2 linked regions of the Ovis aries genome follow. The protein of the gene in region 2 purifies or fractionates together with the protein of the main gene of each other region. This does not show direct contact. Links are inferred from orthologs where the notes say so. Each region holds a gene or a part of one and is shown on either strand. Other genes may lie near its edges.

Region 1 (4,586 bases), on a different chromosome or scaffold from region 2:
TCAGCCTGGGAGGCACAGGCAAGGTTTGGGGTCAGGGCTCAGGCCAGACAGAGTGGGCTGGGGTTCTGGGGTTAGAAGAACACATCAGTGTCTAAGTTGCCACCCAGAGGGTAGGTGCAGGAAGTGAGAGTTTGGGCCAGGAAGTGAGGGTTGCTGCGGGAAGCCAGGATCCTGAGGGTGGAAGCTCCAAGTTCCCATCTCTGGCCTTTGGGAGGGCCTTGGCTGAGTGAGAATGTGGGCAGGGTGCTGACGGGACAAGGTCCTTCCTGTCCACCCTGCCCACACCCCGCTCCCCTCTGGCCCCCTGGGGCCCCCACCAGGCAGCTGCAGCTCAAAGCCAAACTGAAAGCCGCTGGGGTAGCACAGAGGTGGTTTCCAGGGCTGGGCTCCCCACCTCTGCCCCCTTCATGGGGAGGGCAGAGAGGGCAGGGGTGGGGTCACCCTCTGTCCCCTCATGAACACCTCCCAAAAGAGAGGAGACAGAAGCTCTTGGAAAAGGAGCAAGGAGACAGGGCAGCGCTCTGTCCTGCTGCTCTCCACGGGACAGCCAGAGGCCATTCTGCAGGGCTGGGACGGAGCCTGAGCTGGGCCCCCGCTCCTGTGTGTGCCTCTGCGGGGAGGACTGTGCAGTGCAGAAAATGTGTGCCTGGGGTGGGGGATAAAGAGCCTTAACCTGGGGCGGACAGGAGGGGAAGTTCCAGCCCTGGGGTTTCCCCACGTCAGGTGGGGAAAATGAAAGCCAGAGCCAGAGGGTCTAGGCCGGGGCAGGCAGCTGCTGGGGCATTCGTCAGGGGGAAGCCTGGCTGAAAGGCCCGTCTGGGTTGGGGAGGGGGCTGCTTGGGGCAGGGGGGGCAGGCTTTGGTGGCTGGCGAGGCCCAGGAGAGAGTGACGGAGGGAGGGAGGGAGGAACCGCGCTGGAAATCCCCTCGGCCAGGGCCTGCTCTCTGGTCACATTCCTGCAGCCACCTCCCTCTCTCCCTCAGTCTCCCTCCTCCCACTTCCTCTTCCCATTTCCACATGTCCACAGCCCAGACACCTCCGGAGGGAAGAAAGCGCCCTCTCCTCTCAGGGAACCCTCTGGGGGGTCTTGACACCTCCCTCCCGCCCCCACCGGGTCTAGATTCCACACCTGTCTCTAACTAGAGGCGATTAAAGCTGGGGCTGAGAGGCTAAGCAAGGGGGGCAGGGCAGAAGCCTCCACTCCCTGGGTCAAAGGTCAACCACAGGTACTCTGCACAGGGCCTGCACAATCTTGGTTGTAGGCCTGAGGGCTGGTGATCTCTAGGTACAGAGGACAAAAAGGCCTAGGGTCACCCAGTGGGTCCAGAGTCTGTCTCTGTCAGAGGCCACCCAGGACCTTTGCATCTCCAAAAAAGCAGATCAAGACAGACAGCTCCTGCTTCCTCCTCCCCATTCATTCCAGCAGCCCAGATCCAGGACCCCAGCCCCCCTCCACTCTGTTTCCCATCCCCAAATCCCAGCCACCCCCTCTCTCATCCATCTTTTCTTCCTGAGGGGTGAATCCTCACCTGGCCAGCCCCTACCACACAACTGCCTCTCTGACCACCCCTCCCCCCGGCCCCGCCCCAGCCCAGTCTCCACCAAGCTCCACCTGGGCCTGGGGAGGAAGGATGAAGTGAAGGGGTCACATATGACAGTGAGGGGGATTTGCAGGGCTCAGGAGGTGGAGAGTGTCGGTAAGGCTGACTCTAGCCCTCACTTCCCCTTTCTCAACAGAGGAGGAAGTTAGCTGGGGTAGCCAGCCGCCTATCTGTCTGCTGGGGCAAGAGTGCCCCAGCCTGGCTCACTGACTCCACAGGCCAGCCTCAGCCATGCACCCCTGGCAGCACCTCAGACCCCAGCTTCCTGGGCCCACCGGCAGCCTGTCACTGGCCCCTCTTGTTCTTTGAGACAGGGCATTCTGAGGTCAGAGGCCGGGAATCCCAGATATTAAGCAAACAAGGATGCTCTGTCCTCCAGCGAGAAAAACAAAACAAAACAAAACTGGGCTGGTCAGGGGAATTTTCTCTTCCCCAGGATGGGTTACTGGTAGATTTCCAAGATGCTAGCTGGGGTTCCAGGTGCTGGTGAGGGCCCTGCCAAAAGGTGGGGCAGACAGACGATGCCAGGTCCTCTGGACTGGGTCTGGATACAGCTCAAAAGTGGGTTGAGAGTTCAGTTTGAAAGAGAGAGTGGGGACCGCCCCTTCCAGAGCTGGTGCCTTTAGGGATCCCCACATAGGGAATGCCCGGCCTGTTACGGCTCTTGGAGAAGGCCCCGAGTTAGCATCGGGGCGGAGGAAGGGGTCCTCTCTTAGCCTAGCCCCCATACTCACGTGTCTCCGTCCTCGGAAATGTACGTGAGTGCTTCCAGCTGCTGAGGGCTCAGCGCCCCGGCGGCGCGGAGCGGGGAGTCTGGAACTGCGCCCTCGGTCCTGGGGTCCCCCGACAAGGACAGGGGCTCGGTGAGCGATGAGGAGCCGTAGGTGGAGTCAGCCCGCTCCCCGTCCGTGTCTTCCTTGTCCTCTGGCTCCTTGGCGGTTCCCGGAGGATGAGTCCAGGGCTGGGGGCCCCCGCCCTCTGAGGGCCCCGAGGCTGGGCGCGGGGTGGACTCGGGCAGGGAGCGCAGGGAGCGCAGAGACTCGATGCCCGAGTCATACTGGCTCTCATCGGTGTCGTCCTGCCCCTTCCGCGCCTCCGACATCCCCGCGGCGCCGGCCCGCCGGGCCCGGTCCCAGGAGGATCCGACTCCTCGCCGCCTTTCCGGGTTGCAGGTCCGCCTCACAGAGCGGGTGCTGGACCCGAAATGGCCTCCTTTCCGGGCTGCGGGTTGGGCTGAGCGGCTCGGCGAGAAGCGTGGACGAGGTTCCGAGCGCCGGCGGGGTCCGCGGCAGCCGCTACTCGGGGCAACTGGGCAGCGCAGTCAGACGCGCTCGCTCGCCCCGCCCTCAGGCCCCGCCCCCGGCAGGCGCCGCGCTTCCGGACGGACGCCCCGCCCTTCGGAATCCCCCTTACCCCGCCCTCTGCTTTGGCTCGGAGTCAGGGGTTCCCCGGTCCTGACTCACTCTTGCGTTAACTCACCCGTTCATTCATTCATCCAACCGTCCATTCATTCACTCTTTCCCCCTCCCTTCATTCCATGTATGAATTCCCTGCATTCTTTCTTTCCTTCCTTCACTTCCTCTGTTTTCTTCATTCATTTTCCCATTCATTTATTCTTTCGTTTAAGAGGAATATATGTTAATCGTCTGCACAAGCTGGGCGTCTTCTGGGGAGGGCACGTGGGAGGTGGGACGGGGAAGCGTTGCTACCTGTCCCCGGCCCACTACTCTCAATTTCTGTTGCTTTTCCCGGAGCCAAAGGGGACACCCATGTCTTTAAAGGAGTTCTCCCTTTGGGTTCTGGAGACAGAGTCTCCTGTGCCAGTTTTTCAGATCACATAGAATTGGACATGAGGATGTGCTCTTCGCAAGTGGTTTTTCTGTTGAAAAGCCTGTGGTCTAAAAAAGCAGAGTGGTCATTCCTCACAGGGATAAAATACTGGTCTCAGACAGTAACAGCATCTGGTTGGGGAAGTGTAGTTCCTCATGGTGGGGCCAGGATGGGGAGGCCCCAGACATTCTGGGCAGCACTCTGCTGAGGTCCCCTTGGCAGCCTCAGCCCTAATACCAGCACATCTTTCCCCTTTCCCCATCCCTATTTTCCCTGGGCCTAGCCTCAGGAGGCTGTAGGCAAATCCCACCCACGTGGTGAGCCCCAAATCAGCTGCCCAAGATTTATCCCCTACCCCAAGTTCCAGAAATGCTCTTAGAAAAATCCCCCCCAAGAAAACATCTCCCTTTCCCAACTCTGGCTTTGAAGGAAGGAAGCTAGGGTGTGAACACGCAGCTACTAACCAGTTTCCCTCCCACCCTCCCCATGAAACCTCATTTTATTCATCCATTTGATAGACATGTAAGGAGCTTCTTCTATATGCCTGACATTGTTCTCTCTGTTGGAAGCAAAACGGAGGCTCACAGTAACAGTAATAACCAACAACTACCATCCCCCCCCAAACAAACAAACATAAAAAAAACTGTCCCATGGTTCCAGCCTTCAAAACCCCCTAGCAGTTACAACTCAGAGTGATTGGGCTAAGATAGGCGTGAGAACAGGACGCTGGAGGGGCACAACATGGGGCCAACTACCCAATGGGGTGAGCGGTAGAGGAGGTTCCATTTGAACTGGAAATGAGAAGGGAAGAGGGCTGGGAAGAAGTACCTAGTTTCTGGGAAGGGGGTGAGTGGAGGGAGAAAGGAGAGGGGAGGACAGTTGGGAGGAGGTGACCCACTGGTCTCCATCCCCCCCTGAAGGCTGGAGTGGGGAGGATATCTTGAGCCTGAGAGGGTGAGGAGCCATGAGGGGAAAGCCCAAGGAAAATGAGGCATCTCCTTCCCTTGGGGTCATTGTGACTTAAGACATCCTCAACTTCCTCCCCCAACCTGTTCCTCTCCCAATCTCAAAGGCTGGAGCAAAAATACAGACCTTAACCACTTCAAAATAATCTCCATTTTAAAGCTGGGAAGCTGAGGCCCAGAAAGGTGAGTT
Region 2 (3,806 bases):
GCAGGCAGCAGGGTTCCAGGCCTAAACGAGACCCTCCGCTGTTCCCACATCTTGGTTTCCCCATCTAGGCAATGCAGTGGGGAGGGTCTGGTTAAGCTGCCCCAGCCCTAAGGTTTTCTCAGGTGATCCTCAGCCCCTCAAAATCTCCATGACCAAGCACAAGGGGTCAAGTCAGGTACCTGTGCCGAGGGCTGACATGAGGCCGGAGCCGCACCCTGCAGACGCCGTCTGTGCAGTCTTTCCCCACGAGGCTGTGGGGATGGACTCGGTGAGGCCAGTCCTTCCACACCAGGCAGGCGGTCACCTCCACCTCCCGCAGCCCTCCACAGTCCCGGAGCTGCAGGAAGACGGGTGCTTTTGGGGTCCCATCGCAGACACCTGCACCCATCCAAGCCTCCTCTGGTACCTCGTCTCCCCCTCAACGATGGAAGTGTGTCGGTGGAAGACCTCTTTTAGATCCTAAACCCAAAGCTTCCAACCTGGGGACCTCATAACATGAGAGCTGACCCACGGATGCACTGTCTTTGGCCGCTCGACTTAAAAAAAATGGATGCACACAAGGTCTCCAAGTGTGGTCGGCAGAGAGCAAGCTAATAGTGGGGAGACCTGGTAGACACCACCTTAACCAGGTCAGCAAGGTCAGCATCACCAATACGGGGGCAATGGAGCACAGGCATCCTCTGCTGGGATGAATCACAAGCTGGAATCAAGGTTGCCAGGAGAAACATCAACAACCTCAGACACACAGATGGTACCACTCTAATGTCAGAAAGTGAAGAGGAACTAAAGAGCCTCTTAATGAGGGTGAAAGAGGAGAGTGAAAAAGCTGGTTTAAAACTCAACACTCCAAAAACTAAGATCATGGCACCCAGTTCTATCACTTCATGGCAAATAGAAGGGGAAAAAGTTGGAAACAGTGACAGATTTTTATTTTCTTAGACTCCAAAATCACTGCGGATGGTGACTGTAGCCTCGAAATTAAAAGATGCTTGCTCTTTGGGAGGAAAGCTATGACGAACCTAGACAGTGTGTTAAAAAGCAAAGACATCACTTTGCCGACAAAGGTCCATCTAGTCAAAGATATGTTTCCAGTAGTCATGTATGGATGTGAGAGCTGGACCGTAAAGAAGGCTCTCTTCTATGACAGCCCCTCCACAAGTGCAACCCCAGAACCCAATCATGAGGAAATGTCAAACAAGCCCTAACTGCAGGTCATCCATTCAGACATATCTGTGTCATGAAAGATAATAAAAAGATGAGTGAGGACTTCCCTGGTGGTCCAGTGGCTAAGACTCTGTGCTAACACAGTGGGCTTGGGTTTGATCCCTGGTTGGGGAACTAAATCCCACACACCACAACTAAAACCCAGAGCAGCAAAAAAAAAAAAAAAAAAGATAGGTGTCATATTTGAACAAAAAGAAAAAAAAAAGTATTTTGATCGGCTGGTAGTTAAATAATGTATACATCGGTCAAAATCCTTAGAGCTACACACAATATTTGATCAAATACAACTCAATTTCCAAAAAAATAGAGGCGAGAGACTCCAGAGACACAACCAAAAGCAACATAGGACCCTAGATTGAGGAGGGAGAAATCATTATAAAACACATTTTGAGGGACTTCCCTGCGGTTAAGAATGCACCTGCCAATGCAGGGGACATGGGTCCCCGGGTCCAGGAAGATCCTACATGCCTGGAGGAACTAAGCCCGGAGCAACTAAGCACCACAACCACTGAGCCAGTGCTCTAGAGCCAGTGGGCTGCAGCTACTGAGCTGGTGCATCACAGCTGCTGAAGCCCCCAAGCCTAGAACCAGTGCTCCACTACAAACGAAGCTGCCAAAGGGAGGAGCCCCCACACCACAATGAAGAGAAGCCCCCATTCACTGCAAATAGAGAAAGCCCGTGCAGACCAAAGACCCAGCACGGCCAAAAATCAATCAAGCAATAGATCTTAAAAAAAAAAAAAATTGGGGGGAACAATTTGGAAATTCCAGCATGGACTGTATATTAGATGATATTATGTGATATTATTGATTTTTTTCTAGGCATAGTAATGAGTGTCGCAGCCATGCAGGAGCTTATTTTTCAGAAGATGCCCCCTGAAGTATCTACAGGTGAAATAACATGATATTTACAACTCATCTGCAAATAGGTCTGCAAAAAAAGCAACATGCATATCTGTGTGTGTGTGAGCACTACGCATCTGTATGTATGTTTGTGTGCATGGAAAGAGGTCAGATATAGCAAATTGAGGTAAAATTGAGGTCTACTGGTGAATACAGGTGAAGGGTACACAGGTGCTTGTTGTACTGTTTTTTTAATTTTTCTGAAGATGGCAATTGTTCTCATCCTAAATTCATCAAAATGTGTACATTAAGTGTGTATTTTTTTATATCAGTTATACTGCAAAGAAAGAAACAAACAAGAAATCTAGAAGAAAGATTTAAAAGATTTTTTTTCAAAATAAAAAGTTGGGGTGGGGTAGGGGAGGGAAGGACTGAGAATTTGGGATTAGTAGATGCAAATGAGTATATGTAGGATGGATAAACAACAGGGTCCTACTGGATAGCACAGGGAACTATATTCAATATCCTGTGCTAAACCATAATGAAAAGAATATATGTATAAATATATACCTATGTATATATAACTAAACCACTGATATACAGCAGAAATTAACACGATATTGTAAATCAACTATAATTCAATAAAATAATTTTTTTTTTAAGTTGGGGAAGGGACTTCCCTGATATTCAGTGTTTAAGACTGCACTTTCACTGCAGAGGGCACAGGTTTGATCCCTGGTCAGGGAACTAAGGTCCCGACCAATGTGTAACACGGCCAAAAAAAAACAAACGGAAGTTGGGGAAAATTTGGAGCCTACATTTAAAAGGTATGAGACATCATGCTCTTCTAGATTTCCAGGTTCTCCTTTTTAAAAAGGAAGTTATGACAACTGGGGCTGGAATTCTACTCTGCAGCTACATGGGGCAGCAGACAGATACCAGCCCCTTGAGGTGGGGCCCAGACCTACTTGGTTTTCCTGGGTCACTCGAAGGGCCCTGCCGGTCAGAGAACCTCTAAAAAGTGTGATCTGAACATGTAAAGTGAACGGTGAAAGTTGCTCAGTCGTGTCCAACTCTTTGTGACCCCACGGACTCTACAGTCCACAGAATTCTCCAGACCAGAATACTAGAGTGGGTAGCCTTTCCCTTCTCCAGGGGATCTTCCCAACCCAGGGATCGAACGCAGCTCTCCTGCATTGCAGGCAGATTCTTTACTAGCTGAGCCACCAGGGAAAGTGAACACGTAAAGCTGCTGCTGCTGCTGCTGCTGAGCCGCTTCAGTCGTGTCCGACTCTGTGCGCCCCCATAGACGGCAGCCCACCAGTCTCCCCTGTCCCTGGGATTCTCCAGGCAAGAACACTGGAGTGGGTTGCCATTTCCTTCTCCAATGCATGAAAGTGAAAAGTGAAAGTAAAGTTGCTCAGTCGTGTCCGACTCTTAGCGACCCCTTGGACTGCAGCCTACCAGGCTCCTCCAGCCATGGGATTTTCCAGGCAAGAGTACTGGAGTGGGGTGCCATTGCCTTCTCCGACATGTAAAGCTAATGCCAACAAAATACAATGAACAGGTGTGTCTCAGTGGGCGGGTACTGCCCTCTAGGGGGTGTTTGTGGTACTGGTGACAATTTTGATGATGGAGACAGCAGGCTGGACACAAGGCCAGAGATGCTACCCCGCCTGCAATACCAGGACAGACCCACACAAATCCTGTAAGACTTCTGAATATCCCGCCAGCATTCA

The links.
Region 1: the proteins of RELB (region 2) and NFKBIE purify together in Homo sapiens (affinity purification with mass spectrometry; 3 studies listed by BioGRID and IntAct, counting the BioPlex papers as one, with this or other methods). This does not show direct contact. The link is inferred for Ovis aries from reciprocal best matches to the Homo sapiens genes RELB and NFKBIE.

Annotation. Positions count from the first base shown.
Region 1 is NC_056073.1:17,751,006-17,755,591, forward strand, and holds the start of NFKBIE (NF-kappa-B inhibitor epsilon), read right to left. Parts: upstream 2,912-4,586; 5' UTR 2,704-2,911; coding exon 2,336-2,703; intron 6-2,335; coding exon 1-5. UniProt on the Homo sapiens protein: Sequesters NF-kappa-B transcription factor complexes in the cytoplasm, thereby inhibiting their activity. Sequestered complexes include NFKB1-RELA (p50-p65) and NFKB1-REL (p50-c-Rel) complexes.
Region 2 is NC_056067.1:52,497,932-52,501,737, reverse strand, and holds part of RELB (transcription factor RelB), read right to left. Parts: intron 338-3,806; coding exon 180-337; intron 1-179.